4 linked regions of the Astyanax mexicanus genome follow. The protein of the gene in region 1 purifies or fractionates together with the protein of each later gene. This does not show direct contact. Links are inferred from orthologs where the notes say so. Each region holds a gene or a part of one and is shown in the gene's direction. Other genes may lie near its edges.

Region 1 (7,887 bases):
GTTTTCTTTGCATTATTTGAGGTCTGAAAGTTCTGCATCTTTTTTGTTATTCCAGTCATTTCTCATTTTCTGCAAATAAATGCTCCAAATGACAATATTTTAATTTGGAATTTGGGGGAAATGTTGTCTGTAGTTTATAGAATCAAACAAAAATGTTCATTTTACTTAAACATATACCTATAAATAGTAAAATCAGAGAAACAGATTTAGAGACTGAAGTTGTCTCTTAAAAATTTCCAGAGCTGTATATGTTGTAAAACATAGCTGTAAAAGCTGTAAAATTATTAGATTGGCAAATGCTGGACTACTATATAAATGTTTACACCATTAAACGAGTTCTTAGTGATTTATTCATTGAGCTGTTTTGGCTCATAAAAATATCTGAATTTTAATAAGGAGAACAGCATTTTAATAGCTGGTATTCCAGGTTCAGCATGCTGTTACTGTGTGATGCAACATTGGAATTGTGCAGGATCCTGTTTGTGTAAAATCCTGCATTACACCATATCACACAAATTTGTGAGTAAAGCGTGACTGGCTTGGTTTAAACTGTAAATTACACATGACGGTTTGGGGAGTATGAAATCAAGAAATTAAATATTACTGCTTTAAACTATACCTTGAGCTAATTGTAGGAATTTTGTATATATTTAATTTACTTTTGCTCAGTCCATCATTAAATAAACTTACGTAATTAAAGTAAAAATACATTTAACTGTTATTCTTAAAATTGTGTTTTACTCAATTTAACATGTAAAAAGAGAAAAACAGAAATAAATGTATTTTTAAATGTATAAAAATGTCAAAAGTAAATGTTTTAATTAACTTTAAATCTTGAAAAAAAATCACATTATCACATGCTGTTTTTTACTTTTTATGCCCATATTTTATAACGAACCAATACAAATGGTTTAAAATGACATGTTTTTACTGTGACCTTCATTGTGAACATGGTTATTTCTTTTGTCTGTAAAGATGGCATATTTAAATTTAAAATATTTAAAAAAAGAGAGAGAAAAGTCTATGTGTGTATGACATCTGTAATTTATAACTTTGTACTGTGGACCAAAAGTAGATGTAAATGTACATGTAAAGTAGTAGTAAAACTTTTGAAGCAGCTTCAGAGAGAGATAGACAAAAAGCTGTTCAGGATAAAACGTGAGTGTGACCCATGACCCGGCCGTCTCAACTGATCTCTACAACAATCACGCTGCTGTGATCAGCACATACTATAAAAGCTCCAACACAACCACAGCAGAAGATGAGTAGAAACTGTTCATTCATTTGTTTAGAAGTGCAGAGAGCCCCACATCAGCAAGTTACAAGATATGATAAGGATACAGCCCTTGGTAAAGATGCCCTATGACCCCCCACACAGAAAGAGATAGAGACTTATACAGCTCCAAACATCTCCTGCTATTTGTTTATAGCAATTTACCTTGTGTAAATTATGTTTTATATATATATATATTTTTTTAAAGTTCATCAGAGGGGCACTGATGAATAATTCATAATCTTTTGCCAATATAAAGAGACCCCCCCACACACTCTTTTTTACCAGGATTAGATGGATCTGGGTTGAAGCTGACAGCTGATGTTCTCAGTCCACGGACAGATGCGAGTCCTCCATGGCAGTAAACGGAGAAAACTGGTTTAATTGCAGCACTGATGCGCCGCAAAGCTGGAAACACTGTCATTTCTATTGGGGTCTCTCTGCAAACTATGGTCCACAGGCCACAGAGCGCAGAGACCGACTGCTTTATAGCGCAGTGTGAATGCTGCCCCCTAGCGTCTGTTAATAGTTAACGTGAACAAGACATCCCCCTGACCTAAGATAAGGATACTAATACACACACACTGCTTTTAATGAGCAACAGTACATTCTGACTATTGGCCACCACCTATTAGGGTTCAACTAAGACAACCTTCCAGACAAAAACATGCTGCTGAGATAAATATATATTAAAATATACAGGACCAGTAAACTCACCTTCCATTCAGTGTTTTTCTTTATTTTCCTTATTTAATATATTTTCTACATTGTACAATAATTTCAAAGACATCAAAACAATTAAGGGACATGTATGGAATTATGTAGTAAACAAAAAGTGTTTGTCCTTCACATTCCCCTGACCTAATTTTAAAGAAAAAAAAATGTTTGAGAATAAGCCATCTAAAAATAGAACATATATGCTATAAAGCAGCATACATTAGACACCGCCTATTTTTAAACTGACCTGATTTAGCATCACTGGGTAGCCAGCCCACTCTGAGGAAAGCGCACCTCCCAAGCTTTGATACATCAGCCAACAGATGCCTTTGCTGACCAACATCACACTAGCATGACCAACTGTGCTTTCTTAGAGTACAGTTGTTAAAACAAACAGCATGCTCTGGGATTTAAACTAACATTTCTCTGAGCATAGTGACATGAAACACTTGCTTTTTAAGTTAATAATAAACAATTTATTGGGTTCCTGAATGGTGCAGACATCTAAGGATTAGACCTATCACATAGAACTGTTGGCCTTTAATGGTATTAAAACGCTCTGTGGACTAGGTTTTGGGTATAATTTCTTTAGACATGCATGCCAGTGATTTTAAATTTACAAAAGGTAAATGTTTTTATTATACTGCATACTTTCACCTTCATGTTTTTCCACTGTTTGCCTGATTTAATCATCATTCAAAGAAGATAAATTAGAAACTGAAATCAAGGTGAATTGATAAGCTCTGGCTGTAAAAAGGTCTGAGAGTTCCATATCTATTAAAACACTGATTTACTACTAATACATAAACTATAAATTATGACGGGTGGGACGGGTAAACATTCTTAGTAAACATGGCTCACGCTGCCACCAAAATACATTTGCAATAATTTGTAATAATAATAATAATTTTTGGATGTTGGATTGAACAGTGCTCCTTGGGATGCTTAAAGCATGGGATATGTTTTTATAATCTAACCCTGCTTTAAGCCTCTCTATAACTTTATCTCTGACCTGTCTGGTGAGTTTCTTGGTCTTTATAATGCTGTTTGTCCACTAGTGTTCTCTAACAAACCACTGAGGCCTCGACAGAACAGTTGTATTTATACTGAGACTAAATTACACACAGCTGCACTCTAACTTATTCAGTGACTTCTGATGCCAATTGATTGCACTGGATTTTATTTAGGGGTACAGAGTAAAGAAGGCTGGATACTTTTCATATTTTTCTTTTATAAAATTTAAAAAACAATGTATTATTTTCATTTCACTTCACAATTATGTGCTACTTTGTATTGGTTTATTACTTAAAATCTCTATAAAATACATTTAAGTTTGTTGTTGTAACGTGAAAAAAATGTGAAAAAGTTCAAGTGCTATATAAAGATTTTTCAGTTTCAAGTGCTAATAAAACATTACAGAAATAACACTGCACTTTATATAAAAACCCATTTAAGCATTGAATTCATTTAGTGCTTTTAAAAATTATCCTTCTGTTTTGAAAGGGTGTTAAACTGAATTCACCTTAAAATACAATAATTAGATGAAACATATATTAATGCAGTGTTTTATTTATTTTATTACATTTTAAGAATGTTTATTAACAATATACAATTATGGCCCTAACATAAACAAATAATATACACAAAGAAATTGTGTCATTTTACAGTTACAAATTGTTAAATTAGGTATGGTATTTTCTCGTAATTTTATGGGAATTGTTTGGCAACTTTTGTCCTAGTGTTAATATTAAATCCCATCATGTGCTACACTGTACAGCTCAATTTTCTGCCTCTAAAATATATTTTTCTGTTAAAATAAAATCCAGTTTTCCATCAGACACCTTTAACACACCGCACTACTCGTGTAGGTTAGTGGCACCATCTAGCGGTTATAAAACTCAATGATAACACCAAACATATATTTAAAACGTATATTTACACTGCCTGGACAAAAAAGGTCGCCACCAAAAACAAAAGGTCATACAGTCTATTATTAGGTTGGACCGTCTTTAGCTTTGATTGCGGCACGCGTTCGCTGTGCCATTGTTTCAATAAGCTTCTGCAATGTCACAAGATTAATTTTAGTCCAGTGTTGCATTATTTTTTTTACCAAGGTCTTGCACTGATCTTCTCCAGCACATCCCAAATATTCTCAGTGGGATTAAGGTCTGGACTCTGTGGTGGCCAATCCATGTGTGAAAATGATGACCTCATGCTCCCTAAACCACTCTTTCACAATTCCAGCAAGATGAATCCCAAAAATCAATATTTAGTGGAATAACCCTGGTTTTTAATCACAGATTTCATACATCTTGACATGTTCTCCTCCACCAGTCTTACACGCTGCTTTTGGATAACGTTTTGCCACTCCTGATGTAAAAATTCAAGCAGTTTAGCTTGGTTTGATGGCTTGTAATCATCCATCTTCCTGTTTATTTTAGAGGTTTTCAATTTGGTAAATCAAAGAAACTTAAAATTTTAAATGATCTCTTATTTTCCCCCAGAGCTGTATATATAACATTCATACAGGTTAAATATGCAGTTTAAAAAAGCTGCTACAAGTCGGCAGAAAAAGAATTACTTCAGTAAAGTATAGATAACCTAAAAAATATTTGTACTTAGTTACTTGACACCTCTGGGAATATGCACACTTTACATGCATAAAAACTGAAAGTCTTCGGGCAACCCCAGGCGGGACCAAGACGGCCAGTTCTTCTTGTAAATCAGTAGAGAAGTTTTAATAAAAGCTGGTTCTATCAGTATGCACGGTTAGAATACAGCATATAGAGAGACGCAGTGTTTTACTGTGCTTGTTGGCTTTTTTGTAAAGCGGGTTACATTTTAAACCAGCGTTTTATTAATATACAGCAACGCGCATGCGCAGGTCGAGCTCAGACCTCCGCAGTCACACATGCGCAGTAGTGCAATACCGGTCAGACGCTCCGGATCAGCAGCCCAAACCGACGACGGGGTAAACGGGGACGGCTTTTAAACAGGTCAGTGTCATAAGAAGGCAAAAATTTTTGACCGAGGTCATATATTTAGACACGAGCCGCGTTCGGTACCGGACAGACAGCTTCAGAAAATCGGATTCAAGAGGGAGAGGAGAGAGCAACCGGCGAGGCGGCTCCGTTCGGCTGATTGTGGCGCATGCGCACACCGGGGCCGCGGGGCTTTATTCTCGAAAAAGCTGAACATCGAGTCCAGCAAGGCTGGAAACACATTTCTGTAGTTTTATATTTAATCCACTATAGTTTAGTTCATCTACCTACAGGTGTAGCCACTTTTAATGATGTCGATGGTGACAGTTAGGCTTTAGTACTGATTTAGATCAGATTCCACATTGATAAGACCTTTTTTAATTGAGACCGCAGATTAGCCGTTATTTTGTATCAGTTAGATTGTTTTTCCAATCCTTCACAAACTCTTAAAAACTAGCTCGGTAGCTAACAGTTAGCAAGCGTAGGTACATTTGCCTTCTCATTTATTTTGTATGCCTTTTTCTAGCTAACGTTACCTTGCTAGCTAGCTAACTGCGCTAACTAGGCTGTCTAGCTAACGTTACAGTTTTCTTTATGTCATTATATAACATAGCTTTAGCTATCTAACGCTAGGTTATCTAACCTATCTAGTTATATTTTTCATGATATTTTGTTTACTTGTAATAATTTTACATAGGTTAGCTAAATAATTAGGTTTAAAAGTCCGTTAGGTCGCTGTGTTTTTAAGATATCTAATCTATGTTAGCTAATGCTAGCTTTTACCATCTATTAAATGTTGCCCTCTTAGCTAGATAACTAACATATATGTTAAGCTGCCTGGGTTGCTAGCTGTGTCCTTACTCGTTTTATCACTTTTTTATATATTATGCATATACTGTCACACAAATTGTAACTCGAATTAGCACACATTTCCTAGCCAAACATCCCTCTAAGGTGGTCATGTCTGCCCCATGGACGTCATCCACTGTGGCTGTGAGTGTGTGTGTGTGGGGGGGGCAGATTAGCGTCAGCTGGCGAGGCTAAGCTACGATAGCTTTAGCGACGGTTGTTTATGTAGTTAGGTCAGCAGGGCTGATGGTCTGTCTCTGACTGTTGGTGCTGGGGTTAACCAGCAGTTTAGGAGAAATACCGCACTGAATTGGCGTCATCGAATTCAAGCGTAGTGTCAAAGTCTACATAGATACCTGTAAGTCTTTTCTTGGCTTTATTTTTCCTTTTTATGATCTATACCTTTGTTATTTGTGAAACATAAATAACGTGTTACTGTCTCCAGCTCCTACTGTTCAGTTGACAACCGTTGCTGGACAATTTTCTGACTTTGTTGATCTAAGATTTGGTTGCTTCTGAGGTCACTACACACCACTAACGTTACACTTGTTGTCGTGTAATAGAGTATTTTTGTGCTTCATGCTAAATTTTTGCACCAGGAGTGGCATAAAGTTCTCCAAAAGCAACGTGTAAGACGGGTGGAGGAGAACATGCCAAGAATGCATAAAAATTGCATTAAAACCAGGGATATTCCACCAAATGTGGATTTCTGAACTATTTCTATGTCATGTGGTCTGAGAATGAGGTCTGAAAGGTCTGCATATTTTGTTCTTGTTATTTCAGCCATTTTTATTTTTTTGCAAATAAATGCACTAAATGACAATATTTTTATTTGGAATTTAGAAGAAATGTTGTCCGTAGTTTATAGAATAAAACCACAATGTTCATATACTCAAACATAATTAAACCACATTAAATTCAGAAAATGATTTATTAAACTGAAATTGAGGGAATAGTAATAACCTCACTTTAAATATTTTAGAGTGTAACATTTGCCAGTAGGGTCCACTTGACAGAAGAGGAAAAAAAAAAAAACTAAACAGAAATCTGTAAAGATTTTTGCAACCCTGGATATAAGGGACAGTTCTCCTTATTAAGAAATGAATAAAGCCCAAATGCTTGCAAAGCATTTAAATTTGAAAAATTCCAATGAAAGAAAAATATAATCTGTGAACAAACTTAATCCCTCTTCAGCAAACAGTCTCTAGATATGTTCTTCAGTTGTAGCAGTGTCAACATACTAAGTGTTTAGATTCATGGGTAATGTAATCTGTTATTGTCTACTGTTTTACCAAAACTTGTAAAGTAATGTTCCTTTGCCAGTATCTCAAACCATTCCTATTTCTTGAGCATTAATTAGGTCTGGTCTTGGACTAAATTGCAATATCTTTAGTGATTCTTTGTTGAAAATAGGAATAATGTTGGTCGGGGAATCACAACACTGTCCCTCAGGATGCTAAATGTTTACTGAGAAAATTACAGGCTTTTCAAAAAGGTATGTTTAGGGGGTTGTATAAAGCAACGTGTAAACCAGTAGAAAACCAGAACCAGGAGCAGTAGAAAACATAACCTGAATTATTTTGCTCACTGGCAGTCTCACCATTCTTTGTGTTGTTTGCAAGAAATGTGGAACACCCTTTAGGATTTAGTTGTTGATCTGCAAAGGCCTAGGATTAGGCCCAAATGTGAGGAAGAGAGGGCAAAATTGTTGCCAGGTGGGTCAGAAATATTTAATATGTGAAACATTAAAACATTAAAAGCATATTGTGAATGCACTCACCACTTAAAACAGTAGGGGAAATTCTAATAATCTGTTTTTTTGTATTCATGGATGTAATGCATTGAATAACCATATTTTTTTGTTTATTTATTATTAACTATGGGCCTGTCAGGATATTTACGTTGAATCATACAGTACATTGAAAACCTCACACTTTTCTGACCTTAGAATCTTCCTCTGTGTTTCCTTGCGTGTTTGTTTACATACAAATAAACATTACAAATAAATATTAATACTTTATTTAGCCAGCCACAAAAGACCAATGCATAAAACAATGTCCCATAAAA
Region 2 (7,585 bases), on another chromosome or scaffold:
AACTTGACCGAATGATCTCTGAAATGTGATACAATATGTACACAAAACACAGCCTATAATAACACAGTAATACATTCACTCCCAGCCACAGGTCTTAAGAGTCACTTTGAGGAGGGATGGTCACAGGAACACAAACACTAACTTATTCATGAACGCAACAAATTACCTGTGTGCCTTGTGTAGGCTTACATATAATAACAGCTTCCACTCTTCTAGGGTGTATTTACACTTAATATTTAAACAGCGAACACACAGATCTGGAAAATATGAAAAGACCACCTCAGTTTCTGTATCAGTTTCTCTGATTTAGCTATTTATAGGTATATGTTTGAGAAAAATGAGCATTGTTGTTTTATGCTTTTATGCTATATTTTCCCAAATTCCAAATAAAAATATTGTCATTTAGAGAATTATTTGCAGAAAATGAGAAATGGCTGAAATAACAAAAAAGATGCAGAGCTTACAGGCCTCAAATAATGCAAAGAAAACAAGTTCATATTCATAAAGTTTTAAGAGTTCAGAAATCAATATTTGGTAAAATAACCCTGGTTTTTAATCACAGTTTGTAATCATGCATCTTGGCATCATGTTCTCCTCCACCAGTCTTACACACTGCTTTTGGATAACTTTATGCTGCTTTACTCCTGGTGCAAAAATTCAAGCAGTTCAGCTTGTTTAATGGTTTGTGATCATCCATCTATCTCTTGATTGTAGTCCAGAGGTTTTCAATTAGCTAAAAGAAACTTTTTTAAGTGGTTTCCACTATTTTTTACAGAGCTTTAGGATCTGATATGATTCAACAACAACAGTTAATACAGTTTATATCCTCCAATAAATTAAATAAGCTCTGTTTTTGACAAGAAAAGATAAAACCTCTCCAACACAACGCAACACTGCACAGAAGAACTGAGCACCTCCACTTCTGTGTCTGTGAAACCTGTTTTTGCTGTCACATGTTTGGCTCTGCTATTCTGGATGGCAGTCAAGCAGTTGTTTGTAGGGGCTTTCTAGATCATCCAGATATGGCTTTGACTTCCACAGTTCCCCTTAACTGACATTTATTAATGACACTTCCGACAGTAGATATACTTTACTGTATTTTGAGACCAGACTTCACACTAAGTTTCGTGTCTTTGTTACAGTGTGTATATTTGGTCTGGTTAGTTTTGGTTTCATACTGCAGTTTATTAAGCGGACTACAGAAGTTTAAGCTACCTATGGAACCTTCCACTATACATTTTCCTCCAAACTGTCGACACACCATCACTGCACTAAAGATGTTCAGCCCCTCACACAGGCATGCACACACAGCATTTCCTCTTTCAAGATTGGAATAATAAAATAAATTGAGTTTGCAGGCCTAAAAATATCTTAATTATGATTAATCACAGACTTGTTGTGTGACAATTCTTATTTAGTTTATTTAAGAAAAGCTACATACTTAAATGGAAAACATTTATATGGCTATTTAGTACTTGTTTAATTTGTGCTAAAATGTTTTTTTTTTTACCATTGTATTAATTATAATTAAAATTTATTTAACTTTAAGGGACAACCTACATATGTTCTTTCTTTTCTTACTTATTTACTGCATTGCTAATATATCAGATTGAGACTTGGTATTGGCAGATAATCAAAATCAAATGACTCGGGAGTCTGGGTCTAAAAAATGTGATTGGAACATCCCTATTTGCTATGGTATGGTATGGTGTGGTATGGTGTAATAACCAAAACTAGCAGTCAAGCGTGTCTCACACCCACAAGTCACACCCACAAGTCTATTCCATCTATTTATTGACTCTACAAACAGGTTTTTCCACTTTGTAACACAACATGGTTAGCGGAATGTGGTTGATCCAGCTAACCACGTCAAAATATTCATATACTATTATATTGTCTGGGGCATGTTTAAGAAATATAAAAACAATAAATATTATTTAAAATTATGCATACTCCTGACAGAAAAATAAGTCCCAACCATATGTAAAATCCATGCAAAAAATAAAATAAAAATAAATAACATCATACATACCATGAAAACAACAGACTCTTTAAGAAAAAATGTGATATAATTATTTGCTCGTTCCGCACAAGACTAGCCTACACCCCATATACAAAAAAAAAAACCTTAGTAATCTTGTGAGAGGAAGTGTGTATCAGTCATTAACATGTGTAAATCTGTTAATAAACACTTGTGCTGCATCTAAATAAGATATTGTCTGTTACATCCAGCTAACATTTGTAGTCAAGCCAATTGTAGTCAAGTCTTATTAACAGATTATCAAGACAATTTTATTGTCAATACTGCATATCGTCGCTGTACAATGAAAAACAAGTATTTCCAAAACAGCAACTTTACAGCAGAAAAAAAAACATTTTAAACTTTCAAAGGAAGTCAATGTAAAAAGAGTTTATTTCAGGGCATTCTAAAGAACTTCTATTGGTCTGTTCATCTAAAATTTTCGGACAATGTAAGGGATAGTTTGTTTATTCAAATTATGTAGTTAAATAAAAATACAATTATATGACACTACAGGGGAGAAACGTACAGCAAATACAGCAAAATAAGATTATTAATGTAAACTAATGAGAGACACTGAATGTACAATACAACAAGGATACAGATATATACATTAGGGCTGCAACAATTAGTCGATATAATCAACAATGTCCTTATTAAAAAATTGTCAACTTTAAATGTTCATTGTTGACTAATCGACAATTTGGAGCACTACACAACTCGGCCTGCGCCCAAACACAACAGATTACACATTTCCTCACTAAATAGCAGAACTTTTTCACAAATAAATGACATTTAAATGAGTTAATCTGGAAAACCAATTTTCTTAGTTTAATTCTGTTCCTTCAACTTTATTGATTTAATTTTTTTCAAATGTTATAAAAGTAAGTTAGTTTCTGGCACTTCTACAGTACAACTCACAGGAACTATACCTCAAACATGGCGGCGTTTTGGGTGACTGTCAACGACCGAACTATTAAGCTAAACACACTGTTAGATTTAACAAGTTAACAAGTATTTAAGGGCTGATTTGAAAGGATGAGACACAAGCCAGCTCGGCTATAAACAGATAGCGAGGTAAGCTAGTTAACTAATACCCAAAAATAAGTTTATTCTGTCTGTTTACTGACTTTACAAACAGGTTTACTAACTTTATAACTAATACAGTGGTTTAACAACTAAGTTAACTACATCAGCCAGCTACCCACGTCCAAACAGACACAGGCTAACTAACCTACTGGAGTCGCTAACTGCTGCTGCTGCTCTTTAGCTAAAATGAGCGCTAACAGCCAAATAAACAGCCCAGCTCTGCTCCCTCACACTACACCGACTCCTGCCGCACATTCCGACCCCAACACAGTTAATAACAGCCCGGTTTACTGTGAGAAAAGCTCGTATTTACCGCTCAGACGCGCAGCTTCTCTCCAGGAAGATGAGGCTGGAGATGCAGCAGTCCGGGCACGTCACCGCAGCAGCGTCCGTGAGCACCGCCACTGCGCATGCTCAGAGACATGTATACATAAAGAAGCCGGAGCTGGCGTTTCAGCCGGTCGCCATATTGGATGGGTCTCGCATGCGCCCTCTGTGCAAGTGTGCATGTATTATAAGATGACTATGGAATGTTTTTTTTCCTTTAGATTATTTTGGCAATTCCTCTGGCTTTTTTCTTTTTTTTCCCTTCTTCCTTTCTTTATTTACTTATCTTTGACATTGCTGATATGTTGCTGTTACTTCTTGTTTCCTGTTTTAATTAATCACTGTACCTATTTGTATTAAAAAAAAAGTGTGCATGTATTAGTATTGAGGAAGGTGTTTAATACACCTATAATAATCCCGATTTTCACACGGTTTGGTTAGTTACAAACGGCATAGATGTAGTAACGTTGTTTTATGTGTGAATCATTATTTGTGAATTAACATATTCAAAAATATAACTTGATAAACCAATACACTTATTAATATGCCATACTGCAATGATTAGTCAATTATTTAATTTGTCGACTACAAATTTCATTGTCGACTACTCGTTAATTTGCAACAATAACGCATTATACAAAGTGCCGGGGACAGAAGCGCAATGGGAGATGGATAAATGTCTCACTCTTACAGTTTTTACACTTAACTCAGTCTGTGTCCCCAGACACAAAAGATTACATTTTTTAATCACTTAATATCAGAACTTTCCACGTTTAAACATTTAAACATTTAAACTTTTAAACGGTTTTTAAATATCATGTTCAGCTGTTTCTATTGTTTTTAGAGATGGAGGACATGGCAGAAATAATCGTATAAGTGTATTAAACACCTTCCACAGCGCTAATAAATGCAACTGGAACTGACTCCTCCAATATGGCGGCTGATACGCCAGAAGGCAGACTATGCGGCGTCTAAGTAAACAAATCTATGCCTGTCACCGCGCATGCTCACGACATCCACTCACTATAATAAAAGTCCCCTTAGCTTCTACACCATAGGCATCATATCTATGTTCTTTTCATTTAACTATAGCTAGAGGGCGCTCAGCAGCAGAGCAGCGCGTGGGGCTTTTTCACCTTTACCCCGGAAGCAGTTCTTGCTCAGTAAACAGTGTACACATGCTGCTATTCAGCAGAGAGGAGCTACAGAGAGAAACATGGAGCAGAAAAAGAGCAACAACACGAGCAAAAACACCTCTGGAGAGCTGCTGCGGTGCGGAAACGGAGAAGGTGATTTAACGTATCTCCTAAATAGTAAAAAACTAAAGGTTTTATAACTAGATAAATATCTAACTAACGAGCTGCTGCTCCTCTAGAACTGTGTTACCAACTGATACAACATAACGTTAGCTACTCAAGCTAATGATCTAGATCAGTTTAAACGTTTCTGTTTGTTTTTAATGATGGATATTTCTTATTTGGGTGCATTATACTGTCTGTGCTTATTGATACTGTTTGCTTAACGCTTACAGAAGTTTATCTGTACATATAACGCTGCACGTGGCATCAAGCTTCTTTAAATTAGCACAACTAGCTAACCTAACTAGCTAATCAGAACATAAATCATTTAGTTAACGTTAATTCTACAGTTAACTCCGGACAGTTTTGACTGTAAAAGTAACATTATAGAGCCACTAAGGCCAAAACCATTTTTTTTCTATTAATAGCTGAAATGTGCAATTATGAAGTAACGTAAATAAAACATACAACAGTCCTGCTTAAAAAAAAGTATTATAAACATTTCCTAACCTTTTAAAGGTCTTATTCCATTGTTTTTCATTCATTTTAAAATGTCTAGTTGTGGTCTCTAGTATGAATGAATGCCATGTGAGCCGTTAGTTTTTTTTGTGAATAAAAAAAACGTGCTCAGGTGTTTCTGTTTAGCCCTGCTTTATATCACTGGATTAGAGGTCTCTGGAGAAGGACAGAATTTCGGCTCTTGCTCATGAATATTCATACATGCAAAAATATCGCCTCTGATTGGCTAACAGCACTGCAGCAGAGATCGCCAACATGCCTTTGCCCAAACGGTCAATTTTACAGCTGTAAAACTCAAAGGACAAAATGTTTTCAGGGATACAGCCTTAGTTATTAAGATATAGAACTGGGTGCTGGGTAAAATTAACCCTTAAACTTCGCTTAATGTCAGTCTCTTCCCAAACCAAGGCCGAGGCACACAGGTACTTTGGTACACAGTCACAATATGGAGATCAGTCAATTAATAATACCACCCTCTTGCTGACGTCCAGACATCTTATTCTCGCTGCAATCAGACTCACACTGCTGCTGCTCAGCCAATCAGCTCTCCCTCCTGCCCTGCCTCTAAACCCATACATCACCCAGTGCCCCTCCCAAACTACTCCTCCCGAACAACTCCTCACAATTTTTAGCCTTTTTTAAATGTAAGCTGAGCTGTCAGCAAAAATCAGGGGGTTTAGTACTCCTTTAATGGAGAAATCTGTTGTAAAATGTATTTGGAGTGAACTGAAACATGCTAACAAGTAGGAACTTTTATTGAACAGCCCTCTTCCGTTCACCCCCAGCTTTCTGAAATACAGCCCTTTTTTCACTACAGAACACAAAGGTGTCCAAGAGAACCTTTATTTGCCCTATTTTGACTCTTTTATTTATCTCAAACAGTGTGAAGTGCATTAAATAACTGAAAAAAAGTTTCCTAGTATGCCATTAACAAGTTTAAAGTATCGCCACATTTTGAGGGACCTGGATTTTTAAAACAAGGAGAGGGGAACAGACATGCATGAGTGTGATAGAGATATTTTCTGCAACAGCAGGAAATTATGCATTTCCACAAAATTAATTTTGCAGTCTGTTTACCTATCCTACCTATTGTATGTGCTCATCACTCGAGATATGGCAACTTAGTTCCAAAATACCCTGGTATCAGGGTTTCTCACAGCGCATTGTGGTTAGGGTGGGAGCTATACAAAAAAAAAAAGCCTCCCTAGCCTTAACTTACTTGTCCACCCCCCACTTTCCCATCAACAAACTGTGAAGCTGTAAATCGGGATCAAATCAATGCAGGGGGCATTTGTTGTTGTCAAGGCAGCTGCTCTAAGTAGCTACAACACACTGCAGGAAACCCTGGCTCATATAACAGATTATCAAAACTCAACAGCCAGTTACCTTAATCACTTCACACACTTTAAACAACCGCATTTGTTATTAAGTATTAAATACATGTGTGGTAGTAGTAGTTTTGTTGGTCATTGAGTGAAATATATACACTATATATACTATATATATATTTCATAATCATATTTTTTCAGTGAATTTTCATTGTTTATGTAGTGTTCATTTTAAATGTATAGTTCAGTGTATACACAACATGACTTTACAAATAGCAGAAACAACTTCATATAAGGATTAGAAGGGACAGAAACACTAAGGCTACGTTCAAATTACAAGCCACATTGTGCTCAGATCTGATTTGTCTATCTTGACGGTTAAAATTCATAAATGTAAGTGATCTGTATCTGTGGGTAATGTGAATAAATCTGCATCTGAAACTCCTCACTTGCTGCACACTGATACCTGTATAAACGTCTCCTTCTTCACCAACAACAACAAAAAAACTCATATTAGAGAGAGGAGAGACTCGTAGCTTTATAAAGGGAAATGGATGAGTTAGCAGCTCATATGTGGAGCATCTTTTGCTGGAGTGGAGAGTAAACAGCTGGTCTGAAGTTCATGCTCAGGTCAAGGCAGTTTGCTTTTGCTGTTTTTGCAGCTTTAGCTGCACAGCTGCACCAAGAGATGTGATGGTACGAGAGAGGAGCACATAGCGCTATGAAAGTGACTCAAATCTGATTTAAAAAAAAAAAAAGGGATTTGGCATGTTCACACAGTGATTGAAAAATCAGATCTGAGCCACATTGAGCAAAAAATCAGATATGAGTCGCTTCAGTCTGGAACTTAGCAGCCTAAATGATCTACTAAATTATACTAAATTAATGTATTAAATTACAATGTATTTAGTTTTAATTTAATGTTGATAATGGTCTAAAAATTAACATATTATCCTCCTTTCAATAAATTCCCTGCAGGAATTCATGACAAGCTCTTATTGAAA
Region 3 (7,207 bases), on another chromosome or scaffold:
AAAGTCATGAAAATATCATGGAAATTTATTGGTTAAAATGTATATGAACCCTGTATTTACTTTAAATATTATTATTATATATTTATTTGGAATGTCATCATATGCACCCTGCGACTTTCATTGTATCTCTAATGTTTTTATATTTGTTTGTTATCCTGAGCAGAATGGGCAGAGCAGCTGACTGAGATGGGGAAAGGGAAGCATTTCATTGGTGACTTTCTGCCACCTGACGAGCTGGAAAAGTTCATGGAGACATTTAAGGCTCTAAAGGTGAGATTAACAAAACGATAAAAGCCTGCTGCTAAACTCCAGAGTGTATTCAGAGTACTTTTTATTTTGCATACATCATATTTATGGTGCTGCTGTACCCCCTCAGACATTGATCCTCCTGCTGTGTGCTGTTGCTCTATGTCTGAAGGTGTTTACAAAAAGAATCTGAACTGACTGTGATATTGTTTTTGTCTTTGTGATCTGTAGGAGGGCAGAGATCCAGATTACTCTGAGTATAAGGAGTTCAAGTTGACAGTGGAGAACATTGGTTTTAAGATGCTGATGAAGATGGGCTGGAAGGAAGGAGAAGGTCTGGGCTCGGAAAGCCAGGGCATCAAGAACCCTGTTAACAGGTGAAAATTATCAAAAGCTTTAATCAACAGTAAAGTTTCTTAAATTCTCACACTACAGATAAGAGAAGGGCAGATCAGTGTTTCTGGGGCTGATACTGATTGCTGGTCTCACCTGTCAATATGATAAACACCCATATACACCCACATGACCAGCTTTGATGTTCAACAGCCAGTCACATATTTCGGCTAAACATCATCTAGTACCAATACATAGGCAATCATTTCTTCAATTTCTACTTCAGATTCCTGTGTTCTGCAGGTGTTTGCATGTTCTTTGCTGTAGTAAAATATGCTTCTCTCTGAGCTCTTTATCAAGTATATTACTTTATGTGATTTCTAGGGTTCTTCAGAAAAAAACAATGGCTTTAAACACATTTGTGTTTTTCAGGGGAACCACTGCAGTAGACGGCGCAGGGTTTGGAGTGGACCGACCTGCAGAACTCTCTAAAAATGATGACGAGTATGACGCCTTCCGCAAGAGAATGATGCTGGCTTACCGCTTCAGACCTAATCCCCTGGTCAGTAAAGAGCACAGGCTTGCTTGTGTGAATTATTCACACAGGACCTGAATCTGCAATTCACTATTCTTTATATATTGAGCAACACAGAACATAGGTGAATGTAGTCATAATGTAGTATTTCATGATCTACATGCTTTGTGCATTTTCACTGTCCCAAGAGATCAAATAATCATCATGAAATTTGAATTTGTATGTTATTTATTTTATTTATGAACCATTACAATGCAGTGTTCTAGAAAAATGGGAAAACCTTAAAATTGACAGTACTTTTCCAGTTTTTTTGCAATTGCTCAAAAGGAAGTGTTAAAAGTCCTGAAAATATTTATAAGATCCTGGAAAAGTTGAAATAATTAGCTACTCAGATTATGTGGACAGACATTTGCCAAAAGACAAAATAAACAAAAACAAAGAATTTCCAGTGGGATTTGTATGTTATGTAAATGATCTGCATATAATATATAGCTGCTATCATGCAAATCCATTTTTGAAAATATTTTTTCCATTCTTCAGTACTGTGACAATATTTAGGTATTGAACAGTACGTTAATTAATAATCTTGCCTTTAATTTGCTCATTGTTTTGTAATTTAATTAAGTATTTATTTTATTATGTCCTGATATTATCTTTTTTTCTCCCCTCTCCAGAATAATCCAAGGAGGCCGTACTACTGAAGGGATCGCAGTTGTATTGTGCTGTAGTTTTTTTATTTTAATATTTGACATCCTTGACATTTGGACGTGCAGTTTAAAATGCACACCGTGATGGTATTACAGAGTATTAATGCTTTGCCCGAACTTGAAAATGTCCCGTTTTTCCTTTTGCTTCAGTAGATCATGCTCAAAGACATTTTAGAGGATAATGGCTCAAACCTTCACATGTTCCCTTTTTTAAAAAATAAAAACTTTCAACTTCATAGAATCATACAGTTCAGATTCAGAGTTATCTTAGCTGGTTGTGTATTTTTTCCAAATATCCAAATGGACACTTCACTTGAACTTTTGAGCTGCGCCGATTGTCTTGACAGTATCTTGACAGTGAATTCATCATTATAGCAGTGAAAAAGCTGTTTTCTCTCTTGTTTGTTGTCATATACTGAATGTAATGTGTTCTGTAGACCTCAAATAAAGGTTTAAATGGTTCTCCAACACAGTGTTTTATGTTTTACCATGTTACAGGTGTTGCTGACATACAACACCTAAACAGGCTCCACATAGAAACCTAGTCACTAGGCTGTCCCCAAATTAAAGATGCTTCATATACAGTTAAAAAAGGATATTTTCATTTTGAGGATGCAACTGATGTATCCTTCACATCCCATGGTTACCCACAATTCTCAGCACATGTAAAACATATAGGGAAAAGGAAAAGCAGCATCACAACAATAGTAGAAATAGTACAAAACGAAGCCCCAGAAGCAGAGTTCATTTTTATTTCGCACATCATTGTGTGATGTTTGCTAATGCTGTCACCATTAAGTCTTGTTAGACTTTCACAAATGTGAGACCAATAGGCTACTGAGAAAGACTTTACTTTTAGTGCTGTGAAGATTTGGTTGCATTGAAATCAAATCATTTACTTTTATAGTGTTCATGCTTAGTGATGCTTGATGTCAACAGAGAATCAGACGAAACTGTAAGCAATAAAGGCAAAGAAAAACTCTCTCATAGCTAAAGGAGGAAGAAACCTTGGGAGGAAGCATAGCTAATATATAAGAAGGGCCCCATCCTCCTCTTGTCAGACAACTTATAAATTAATGTTAAAAAGTTATTATACATCCACATGAGTCACATACAGTTAGAAAATTTCTAATGAGAATTTATATAAACTTTAATGTAATTGGTAGTGGAGAGTTAACATATCAGAGGCAGGTGGCATATACTGGGCGGTGGGAAGCTGATCTGTGGTGGGTGACTGGGAAGCCTGACTTCCAAAGACTTCCATTGGTATGAGGCCAGACAGTTGGGCAGTCAGAGAAAGGCAGAAAGATGGAATAACTTTTGACTAGATTTATGGAGAACAGATAATATGCAACATTGTCAGTGTCTGGCTGCTGACCCTGGCAGATCTGATTTGGGGAAGAGCCAAAGGTCACATGCAACACTCAAACCCAACCCCAAGGTGTTGGTTGGATCCCTTACTTCAGAAAATGATAGTTATCTGTGTGTAGAACCACATTTATATAATGCCAGGTTGACCACCAGAGCGGTTAGATAGTGGATGACAATCCTAATGTGTACGGGGGCATTCCCAGATTATCATCCATCGGTATCAATAACTCAGAGAAAGGCAGAAGGATGGGATTTAACTAAGCAAATGATCTAGGGTTGCTGCAGTTGTTCAGGTCTAGGTTCAGCAACAGTATGTGCTTAAAGAATGAGGTCAGCCGACTACCTGAATATATTGAAGAACCAGGATATTCCATCAATGGATTTTTTTCATGCCTGATGGCACGGCCATATTTTAAAATGCTCTGGAGTTGTAAAAGAAATGGTTCAGGGAGCATGAGCATAATTTTTACACATATTGACCACCACAGAGTCCGGACCTTAACCTCATTGAGAATCTTTGGGATGTGCTGGAGAAGAGCTGCTTTGTGCAGCAGTCAGACTCTACCATCATCAATGCTGCTGCAAGATCTTGATGAAAATTAGTGCAACACTGGATTTAAATACGTCTTGTAACATTGCAGAAGCTTATTAAAAAAATGCCATAGTAAATGCGTACCACAATCAAAGCTAAAGGCGGTACAACCAAATAGTATATATAAATAAAACCATAACGATGAACAGAGTTGTTTTAATGTTTCAATTAATTCAATGTCCTTTTGGTATTATGAACTTTATATAAACACAAAAGGCATGTTACATTGGTAGTGAAGACCCAACAAATGATCTTTATCTATATGTCCTAAAAACTATGAAATCTCTCTGAATTCTTAATAAATGTCATTTCTATTGAATAACACTAAGAAACAGAGGATTGTATCACTAAAGGAGTGTGAATCTGCTTTCTGAATCTGGGGTGTCTGAGTGGGGGGACGGCGAAGAGCACTTTAGCTGCTTTTTACCCTTTTTTTACCAGGTTTAAAGGGGAAAAAATAAGCGAAATAGAGAGTACAGATAAATTGTAGATAGCTGAAGGACTCTGTGCGGGGGAAAGCAAGTTCTTAGAGTAGTTTAGAGGCTGGAAATGGGGGTAAAATCTTAGCTAGCGTCCCCTGAGTCCACTCCACTGAACTCTCGCCGCCTGTGCGGAGCTCCGTTCAGGCCGCGGCTTGTTTTTGTTGTTATTGTCGTCAAAATGGCGACTGGCGCTGAGGCCCCGGAGTCCTGGTACCTCGCCCTGCTCGGCTTCGCGGAACATTTTCGCACGTCGAGCCCACCTAAAATACGTCTGTGTGTGCACTGTCTCCAGGCTGTGCTTCAGTTTAAACCTTCGCAGAGGGTAGAAGCCCGAACGCACCTCCAGCTCGGCTCGGTCTTGTACCACCACACCAAGAACAGCGACTTGGCCCGGAGTCATTTGGAAAAAGCGGTAAGAGCAGATCAGGAAACACCGAGGATGCGGCGGAGAGGCGGGCGTGTAGGCCTCAGTGCAGAAAGTGCTGCTTTTTAGACTTTTGACTGTGTGAATTTTAAGATAGACACATTAAGTACGTTGTTTGGGGCGTAAACGATAATTACAGCTTATTTCTAGAGAGTATACACGTAAAACAAACCTAAATGTACCTATACAAGCTATATGTTCCTCTAAAGCTAGCATAAGCTAGCTACCATTCAAAAGCTAGCGCTAGTTAGCTTGTAGGTTATATATACACATCAGGGTATCTGCAGATCCTTAGCTGGCTAGCTAACTAGCTATATTACTCATATTCTTAGAAAATTAGGTTTTAAACGGTTTTAGCTTAAAATTAAGCTTGAATTAATGTTGAAATATCTTGAATACATCTTCCCAAAAGTCTTACACAACACAGAAAGTGAAGAAAATAGGTTTTATACTAACTTAAGCTAGCTAGCTTAGCTTAACATCTTTCAGATTTAGTTGTCGGTAACTTAAAGGCAGACTGAATTAAGTTAACCTAAGCTGACGTGATTTAACTAACAAATCAAGATAAATAACCCCAATTAATCATAATACCATATGTCTAATGGACCATAACTTAATTTTCTCGTGTGTGCTAAACAATTAACTAATTTATGCGTCTTTGAAATGTCGTTTTTGAATTTTTACTGGGGGAAATACAGAGATGTACGTTAGCTTACTCTAGTCTGTGAAGTTAATATTGGTGTTCCTTGCTTTTAAACATGTTCTTATTTTGTTATTTGTTGAGTGGAATTATAAAGTCTTAAACGTATAAAAAAAAAACCTTAATACTCCTGTATTCTCAGTGTATCTTATAGCTAGCTAGTTTAGCTAGCTATGCTACATTAGCCAGTCCCTAGCTAACTAATGTACTGTAAGTTAGTCCCAATATCATATTTGTGTATCATTTTTCACTCTTAACTGTTTCAATGTTAGTTACTTAGCTACTGTTGTTTATTTGAATGGTTTATGTGTGTAAATCTTAGCTGTTTTCGGTGATGTAAGTTAACTGTGTTTGCTTGCTAGCTAGGTACCTAATAACTAATTTATCTTTTTTTATTCTTTCTTTATCTCTTTCAGTGGTGCATCTCGCAACAAGTATCCTTTTGCAATGCATCTACAATGGAGAAAATCGCTTTATTTGGATGACTAGCTTTGTTATATGTATAAATGTCTGTATAATCAGTGTGTGCTTGTGCAAACTGTCAATTAGCTTCCAGTTTCACTGCCTAAAGCAGAACTCAAAAGGAAGGGTACAGATTATGGCTGAACTTTTTGTTTTCACAAGTAATGGCTTTCTTCAGTGTGTTTTTTTCAGTTCTTTCAGTTAAATAGCTGTCTGAGATTATAATCATGTCAGATCTGTAGTAAAAATATAACCTTAACCAGTGTTCTCAGGTCCCACAGTTTGAAGATGTTAAATTTGAGGCTGCCAGTCTCCTCTCGGAGCTCTATTGCCAACAGGTAAGAATTGTATTTTGTGTAATTTTGCGTAATGTATTGTGGACGGTTGCACTGTCTGCAGAAGTGTATGTATGCTTTTTTCTAAATTTACGTAACAAGGATGCTCTAGAACAGCGATTTACAACCCTGGTCCTGTTCCCAATGTACCTGATCTAACTTGTCAGCTAATTTACAAGCCCTTTCTGAGTTGATTCTGTATTCATGCAGTATCAGTGTTTGGGTAAATGCAAATTCTTGATTTGGAAGTTGCACCTTATCATTCCCTCAAGTCATTATTTGTTGTGGAAAATGGGGATATATTTCATATTCAAGAACAGAATCAATATTGGATGGTACTTAATCGTTTTTTTGTTTTGTTTGTTTGCTGCTGCAAATTATTTTAACCTGTAATCTATGTGCATTTAACATAATGTTGAGCAGTAAATGTGGTGTTTGAGATGGAAACACTACATTTTGTAGATTATGGGGTCCTCCAGAGTGAGAGTTGTGAACCACTGCTAGATCTAGATCACTCGCACATTAGTCTAAGATTACTGTCCCTGGACCCAAACTTTGGACATTAAAAGTCCACAGTTTATTGAATTGTAAATATTGTTGTTAATATTGATGAACAATAATAACAGCTGATTCAACAGATCTTCTGATCTTACTGATTCTCTTGTGGCTGAATTTCATCAAATTCTTACAGTGATGTTACAGCATATACACTTCTGGGCAAGTTTCACATTATATTTTGTTACTGCAGTGAAGGGGGGTAAAGTCATTGTTAATACCCTTTATGTTCATTGAGTAGGTGTCTATATCTGAGAAATTCCATGTCATTTTATTCCTTTCTTGACAGAATTTGGTTGATTCTGCTAAGCCTTTACTACGCAAAGCCATTCAGATCTCCCAGCAGACTCCATATTGGCACTGCAGATTGTTATTCCAGCTAGCAGTAAGTGATGGCATGCATTCCTTTACATCATTTTTTGCAATGTTTTAACAGCAAGTGAAACATTTCAAGGCTTTATCTTG
Region 4 (6,886 bases), about 12 Mb from region 1:
TTAGACTGACTTAATATTTAAAGGTGAATATGTAAATTAAACTTGATTTCATTGAGTTAGACTGACTTAATATTTAAAGGTGAATATATAAATTAAGCTTGATTTCATTGAGTTAGACTGACTTAATATTTATAGGTGAATATGTAAATTGAGCTTGATTTCTTTGAGTTGGACTGACTTGATATTAAGTTGTATGAGTCTAATACAAATGAGTTGGTGTAACAAAATATTTTTAGTTGAACTTACTTAAAAATTCATCAAGTTGAATTTACTTAAAAAAATTGGTGCAAAACGTTGCCTTGATTTTTTTAAGTAAATCCAACACATGATTTTTTTCAGTGTACATACAATGTTCACATTGTTAACAACCTATGCGCTCACTGTTCTTTTTAAAATGTTCTTTTGTATTGATATACCTCCTTCACTTCATCATATTTAACCCATGTTTTGAGACAGTTTTCTTGAAACAGATCATCTCTACTATTGAAGGTAATAGGAGTGCCTTCAAATGGCTAGTGGACGCTTTCAGTTTGTGTGAAGACTGTAATTGTAAAACACGTTATGATTAACATGATTTTTTTAGTCTATTTGCCCTGACAGATCCCATCATATACTTAAAGTGGCACTTTGGCCGAAATGAAAACCATAGCCATCCCTTATTCTGACGTAAACATGCATACTTATGTCCCACAGTGGAGCTGCAATTTATCTTGAAGGTGGGGGAACGTTTAAATAAATAGCAGCACTAATAGACATATGTCATTTTGTAGTGGGCACCATGTTGTTTATGCCCACATTTGGTGTTCCGTGTGTAAGCTAAATTTTCCAATGGGGAGAATTTTTTTTATCACCTCAATCACATAAATAAATAAATATGCTCAGAACCCTATAGAAAATGAAAAAAGCTACCAATTACTGTTGCATTAGCTTAACTGTAGCAAATTCTTATTACGACTCTTAAACAATCTCGTAGTTCAGAAAATCCAGTGATAATCAGAAGAAAACTGTACGCAGAATAAAACATATATGGTTATGAACATATTTATTAATCACAGATTGTGATAGACCCCATTCATTCTGCTCATTGCGCAATTAAGCCTAGACACGGAACTCCAAATATGGGCGTAGGACTACAGAATGCTATGGCTATGTTAGTCACTATTGTGGGAGATTATCATGCATTTGTGTGGTGCATCTTGGGTACAGAACTGCTATATCGTTCACTCGATTTAATTATTTTTTTTATCCACGGCCCCTCCCGGGCTCTGTACCTTGGGTACTGTAGTAAAAGAACATTAAATACAAGAAGTACAAGCATTAATTTTGTCCAACCAGTAGGGCTCTGAGATACATTGTTAAACAACAGAATTATACACAGCATACACAAATAGCATACGTGCTGTTATCATGTCTAAAAACCTTTTAAATGGTCCTTATTTTAGAAATCACACAAGCAAATATGCTACAACACTGTGACATAGTACGAGGGGAAGGGGATGATAATTTAGACTCTCCATTGAACTATGGTTTTAATGTGCTTTAGGAATTTGGTTTAATTCATCGTCTAATTAGACAAACTGTGTGTGTGGTACTTTAAAATATGTGTACAAAAGGATGCATTAATGAACATGGGTTCGTGGAAGTAACATGAAGAGAGCGCACACTGTTCACTTATGAGGAGAGAAAGAAGATAAGGACTAGTCTCTGCATATGCATCAACCACATCAAAGCCTCTGCATAGAAATGAGTCTTATACCAAGAACCTCATATATAATCCCATGCCTGTTAATGAAGCATCAGCTCACTACTAGAAATGCAATTAAAGCACATTAGCCCCATGCTCACTGCATGACCATGACGCTGACCTGCACATGAACTGTCTCACTGTCTAATTGGGTTAACTGTGAAATGAGGAGAGTGACACAATTTTAAGTGATATCCCTTCCACAACAACAAAATAATAAAGTGATTCCAGTTTGAAAACATTTAATATTTACAAGAGGAAGGCATAGTGCAGGTAAGTGTACATTTTAAAACAGATTTAGTAAAATGTAGAAATGTAGTACAGGATTTAGTCAGTGCACAAAAATGGGTAAACCTGAATGCTGGAAAGATTCTTCCCCCTGCTTGGGGCATGAAGAAAAAGTAGTCTTTGTAAGTGTGAGCAGAATCTGTTATTTTGTTTCGTATCAATATTTAAGGTTCGTCTCATCAACCTCCAGTTTAAATGATTCTCTGATCCTAACCACTTGTAATTTTGAGCTGCAACAAAAATAGCAGCAACTATTAAATTCAGCATTAGGGTACCTATGTAAGTTTAAGACCAGCTTTTGAAAGTAGTTGGATTTGGATGGTCTTCAATATTCAAGATGGCCTTAGCTGGTCAGAAAAAGAGCTTGTAAGCTCTTGACCAGCATACCCAGATAGCAAAAAGTGATTAAATAAACTTAAAATTTTCTCTAATGCACTGATACAATGTTATGGTTTTATATAGGTTTTTGTATCAAACTTATATTTAATACAACTTATATTATATATTTTTAGTATTTTTATACTTATACCCTTATACTCTTTGTATTTATTTTCTTATTTTCATAAGAGCTTCATGTAAGGCTGAAGGGGGCTGCTTACTATTTGTTAAACAATAGCTTGCACATCACTTTAAATGGTACAAACTAAGTCTTTATTATAATCGAGAATCGCTAATTTATTTGAAGAATATATAATGCTTGTTCAAGCTTACTCACACAGGTTGTCTAGCTTTTTAAGCCACATATAATTGCAGCAATAATGCATTACCTAATTGTAAATAGAGAGAAAAACAGAAGTGAATAGGAATAAAAAGTATTTCACCGGGGGGTTCGTGGTGTTTCTACAGAGCCTCTAAGGTAACAGCATAATCAAAAAAATAAAAATAAAGAAACAATATAATGTGTGGCCACAATTTATTACAGTGTGGGAACAAGAATCCTAATGTGTGGCCATGACTTTTTAAGCTGCGGAAACAAGATCCTAATGCGTGGCCAGGTTAGGCGAGATCAATTTGGAATTTTGGAAATGAGATAATACATTTGTTGGGATGAGTTATTAAGGCGTGGGAATAAAATGCTTAAATACTGGCCATATAAGTAGTTCCCACAACTTAATAATTGTGACCACACATTATAATATTATTTTTCTTTTTACATCATGGGTTCCTAGGGGCTCTGTAGTTTCTGACCAAAACCACTCGAATACAAATCACATCATACTTACAATCTCCAAAGCGTTGGATTTAAAAGCTGCATAAATTTGTGTTTCTTCATCTAGTTTGCCAATGCAGTTCCTGTTATTTGCCATATTTTGACTCTACATTAAGTAACAAGCAAACTGCAAGTGCTTTTCCTGCTTAAGCACACTTGATTCCATTCAACTGTTAACTGTCATATTTAGTAGGCCAGTTAGAGCAGGGGAATTAGTTAACTAGTTACTTAAGCTTGCTGGAGTTTGCCCTACTATGAGACAATGTTTAATAATGGTTGGTTGTCTATTATAAACATATAAAGCTGTAATCCACCAAAACATGTATGTAACACATTTAATGTTCATTGCTCATGCCTGGTCAAGCTTACTTATACAAATTGTCTAGCTTAGTCTGATCAACACTGGTCATGATCTAAGCTGGTCAGCATGGTGTGCTTATTATTTTTTTTTTTAAGTGTGTGATGTTTTTGAGAAAGGCAGGACTCCCGCTATAATTAACTATCTGGTGTGATCTGGTCAGGTTGATGAATGAGTGGATGTAGCTGTGTGTTTGAGACTGTGGGGGGCGCGCTGATCTGCTCTGCTCCGCCGCTGCTGCTCTTGAACCGGAATAAACCCGGCCTGTGTTTGAGCTGTAGCTCTTTAGCTGGTTAAAAGCACGCTGCTCCGCTGCGCTACAGGCTCCCACTCATCCCGAGCTGTTTTTAAGTTTCACACAGATATATTATTTTAAAAACACGGTCAGTTTAAACTCGTGGTTTTAAAGAGAAGATGGGAGTGCCGGCGTTTTTCCGCTGGCTGAGTCGGAAATATGCGTCTATAATTGTGAACTGTTTGGAGGAGAAGGTAAGCTAAGCTAATGCTACAGCTAGCGCTAGCAATAGGCTAACGCTGCTGAGGAGAAATGCCCTGTGGAGAATAACACGCACTTTTTAGTTAGCTAACAGAACACTAGGGGGAAATATATGTAGGTTAGAGTCTGTAGGCAGTTTAATAAACCAGGTTTTAACATAACTCTGGAGCTAACGGGCTGAGTGGTGTTGTTAACGGTCTCTGAGACAACGGAGTCTTTTGATACACAGCGGTTAATTAAATAATCAAGCGTTAGCTAACTGAGGATACTGCTAAGCTAACTAGCTAAAACGTTAATGTCTACGTTCAAACAGCAACTGTTCACAGCTAACCAGAGCTAAGCTAAGCTAAACTAGCTAACTCTGCCTTTATGTTATGCTGGAAATGTTATGTTACCTATGTTTAGCTAGCTAGTTATTCACTAGGCGCTAGTTAACTAACGTTAGCGTTAAAAAAATATATAGAAAAAACGCGTGGCAATAGGGGTGTGCAATATGCCCCTAAAATAATATCACGATATTTTATGGTATTTTTTTGCAAAAAACGATATTCATGGCGATATGACTAAACTAAACACTAACGTTACTGCAACAAAATAAATATATATATTTTATTATTGGATACGATATGATATGGCACATCCCTAACTGAGAGATAAAAAAATATACTAGTATTTTATCAGATTTCTAAATTAAGTTAATGATCCAGTCTCATATTAATAATGGACTCCAGATATCTCCATATATCCAGGACTGAAGTAAAGTAAATAATATTATCTGTCTGTAGTAAATATATCATGGGAAATGAGAACAGTGTGCTGTGTTTTTTTTTTTTTTTTTTTTGCTAAAAAAGTAGTACCCTGATGTGATAATTAGTGGTTGGTGATTTAATTCATAAAATTAAAAAATGTTGCAGGTATTATTGCACACAATAAGATATGACCCCTAGCCATGACTTTTTAAGGCGCTGAAATGAGATCCAGCGAAACCTCGTATTTCAGAGTTGTAAAATCTGATTTTCTAAATTGGGGTCTTGTCAAAAACTCTCCAATTAAAAACTATTAACCTACAGGAGTCTCTAGTTTAGCCACATATAAATGCAGAAGTGATGTAACACACAATTGTAAATAAAGAGGAAAACACAAGTGAACAGAAATAAAAGCATTTCTCCGGTGTGTGTTTCTACTAAGCCCCTAAGGTAACAGCAATAGACATTAAAAATGAGGGTGCAGAAATGAGATCCTAGTGTGTGACCATAACGTGTTAACGAAATAATTAAATCCTGGCCATGTAAGTCATTCCCACAACTTAATTATCTTGTTCCCACGACTTAAGTTGTGATCATACATTTATTATTTTTATTATTATAATATATAAAGTAGACATCCCAAGCTGCAAAACACAATTTCCTCTCAGTTTGTGGGGAAAAAAAGTCTTGGTCGGCTGCTTGCACATTTGCATTCACTCCTGGGACACTCATTTTAGATTCTGGGAGATTTAATCTGACTTGCAAGGATCAGGGAGCAATTATTTATATACAGTAGATTCCTGCAACTTCCGAGAGATTTAGAACATCTGCATTACGTCACCTTAGGGGCTCTGTAGTTTCTGACCAAAACCACTTAAATACAAATCACTTATGAGCTTGTTTTTTGTCTAGTTTGCCAGTGCACTTTTTCCTGTTATTTGCCATAATTTGCACCTAAATTGTAGCAAGTAACAAGTAAACTGCACGTGTGTTTCCTACTCAAGCACACTTGATTCCATTCACCTGTTAACAGTCATGTTTAGTAGGCCTGTAAGAGCAGGGGAATTGACTAACTAGTTACTTAACGGCGTGCTGGAATTTGGCCCCCATTTTAACACCCCTTTGCAAAAGAAGCTAACTAACCTATAGTACACCAGGGATCATACCAAGCTGCACCAAGTGGACCATATATAGTACCAAAAATTTTGATAAACAATATTATTTAACGACCATTAAATTACATAATAAAATAGCATAATGAAAGACATTTTTTTTATTATTATACATAGTTAAAACAATGAACTGACCAAACAGTTAGTAAAACCACCACATTAGACTCATGGCACATTTTTTTAATTATTTTTTTTAATTCAATGCCCTATGCCGATGTATACAGTGTAGCATACATTCTTTTGTTTTACTTGGAAGTAACTGTGTCCATTGTTTTTCTTTCTTTTTTTAGTCTAAGGAATGCAATGGAGTTCAAATACCAGTTGACACCAGTAAACCCAACCCAAATGAGGTGGAGTTTGACAACCTCTATTTGGACATGAATGGAATCATCCATCCTTGTACACATCCTGAAGACAAGTAAGTATCTGAATTAGCTTGGAAGATAAATGTAAAAAAAGATGGTCAGTATTTTTTCCAGACAATGTTTGCTTTACTTTTCAGGCCGGCACCGAAAAATGAAGATGAAATGATGGTTGCCATTTTTGAGTACATTGATCGGCTTTTTAACATCGTTCGGCCGAGGAGAGTTCTTTACATGGCAATCGATGGAGTTGTAAGTATGGTCTGATTTTTAAATGTTATTTTCAGTTTTGACAAGTAGCAGCAGGGCTCCAGGCTAACATCATCTCACTGTACCATAAATAATAAAATAGCACAAAGTTAAAAAAAAAAAAAAAAAAAAAAGATTAAAGCTGTTTTGGGGCACTTTTGGAACAGAGAATTTGTGTGCTATAAAACCAGTTATAAGCAGTTTTTAAGGAAACTGCCTATTGATGATGCTTATTATATAACAATAATGTAAAACTGAGAT

What was found.
Region 2: the proteins of kpna1 (region 1) and nopchap1 purify together in Homo sapiens (co-immunoprecipitation; 3 studies listed by BioGRID and IntAct, with this or other methods). This does not show direct contact. The link is inferred for Astyanax mexicanus from reciprocal best matches to the Homo sapiens genes KPNA1 and NOPCHAP1.
Region 3: the proteins of kpna1 (region 1) and mau2 purify together in Homo sapiens (affinity purification with mass spectrometry; 3 studies listed by BioGRID and IntAct, with this or other methods). This does not show direct contact. The link is inferred for Astyanax mexicanus from reciprocal best matches to the Homo sapiens genes KPNA1 and MAU2.
Region 4: the proteins of kpna1 (region 1) and xrn2 purify together in Homo sapiens (affinity purification with mass spectrometry; 4 studies listed by BioGRID and IntAct, with this or other methods). This does not show direct contact. The link is inferred for Astyanax mexicanus from reciprocal best matches to the Homo sapiens genes KPNA1 and XRN2.

Annotation. Positions count from the first base shown.
Region 1 is NC_064408.1:95,811,464-95,819,350, reverse strand, and holds the start of kpna1 (importin subunit alpha-5), read left to right. Parts: upstream 1-4,863; 5' UTR 4,864-4,986; intron 4,987-5,604; exon of another isoform or gene 5,605-6,178; intron 6,179-7,887. Other genes in the region: si:ch211-161h7.8 (thiosulfate:glutathione sulfurtransferase), read right to left, coding at 1,559-1,697. UniProt on the Homo sapiens protein: Functions in nuclear protein import as an adapter protein for nuclear receptor KPNB1. Binds specifically and directly to substrates containing either a simple or bipartite NLS motif.
Region 2 is NC_064409.1:6,106,141-6,113,725, reverse strand, and holds the start of nopchap1 (uncharacterized protein C12orf45 homolog), read left to right. Parts: upstream 1-4,572; 5' UTR 4,573-4,652; coding exon 4,653-4,725; intron 4,726-7,559; coding exon 7,560-7,585. UniProt on the Homo sapiens protein: Client-loading PAQosome/R2TP complex cofactor that selects NOP58 to promote box C/D small nucleolar ribonucleoprotein (snoRNP) assembly. Acts as a bridge between NOP58 and the R2TP complex via RUVBL1:RUVBL2.
Region 3 is NC_064411.1:47,986,004-47,993,210, reverse strand, and holds the start of mau2 (MAU2 chromatid cohesion factor homolog), read left to right. Parts: upstream 1-4,182; 5' UTR 4,183-4,444; coding exon 4,445-4,678; intron 4,679-5,806; coding exon 5,807-5,824; intron 5,825-6,124; coding exon 6,125-6,190; intron 6,191-7,031; coding exon 7,032-7,127; intron 7,128-7,207. Other genes in the region: sugp1 (SURP and G-patch domain-containing protein 1), read left to right, coding at 164-270, 478-623, 1,012-1,141, 1,789-1,815. UniProt on the Homo sapiens protein: Plays an important role in the loading of the cohesin complex on to DNA. Forms a heterodimeric complex (also known as cohesin loading complex) with NIPBL/SCC2 which mediates the loading of the cohesin complex onto chromatin.
Region 4 is NC_064408.1:83,918,529-83,925,414, reverse strand, and holds the start of xrn2 (5'-3' exoribonuclease 2), read left to right. Parts: upstream 1-3,863; 5' UTR 3,864-4,014; coding exon 4,015-4,089; intron 4,090-6,304; coding exon 6,305-6,432; intron 6,433-6,516; coding exon 6,517-6,628; intron 6,629-6,886. UniProt on the Homo sapiens protein: Possesses 5'->3' exoribonuclease activity. May promote the termination of transcription by RNA polymerase II.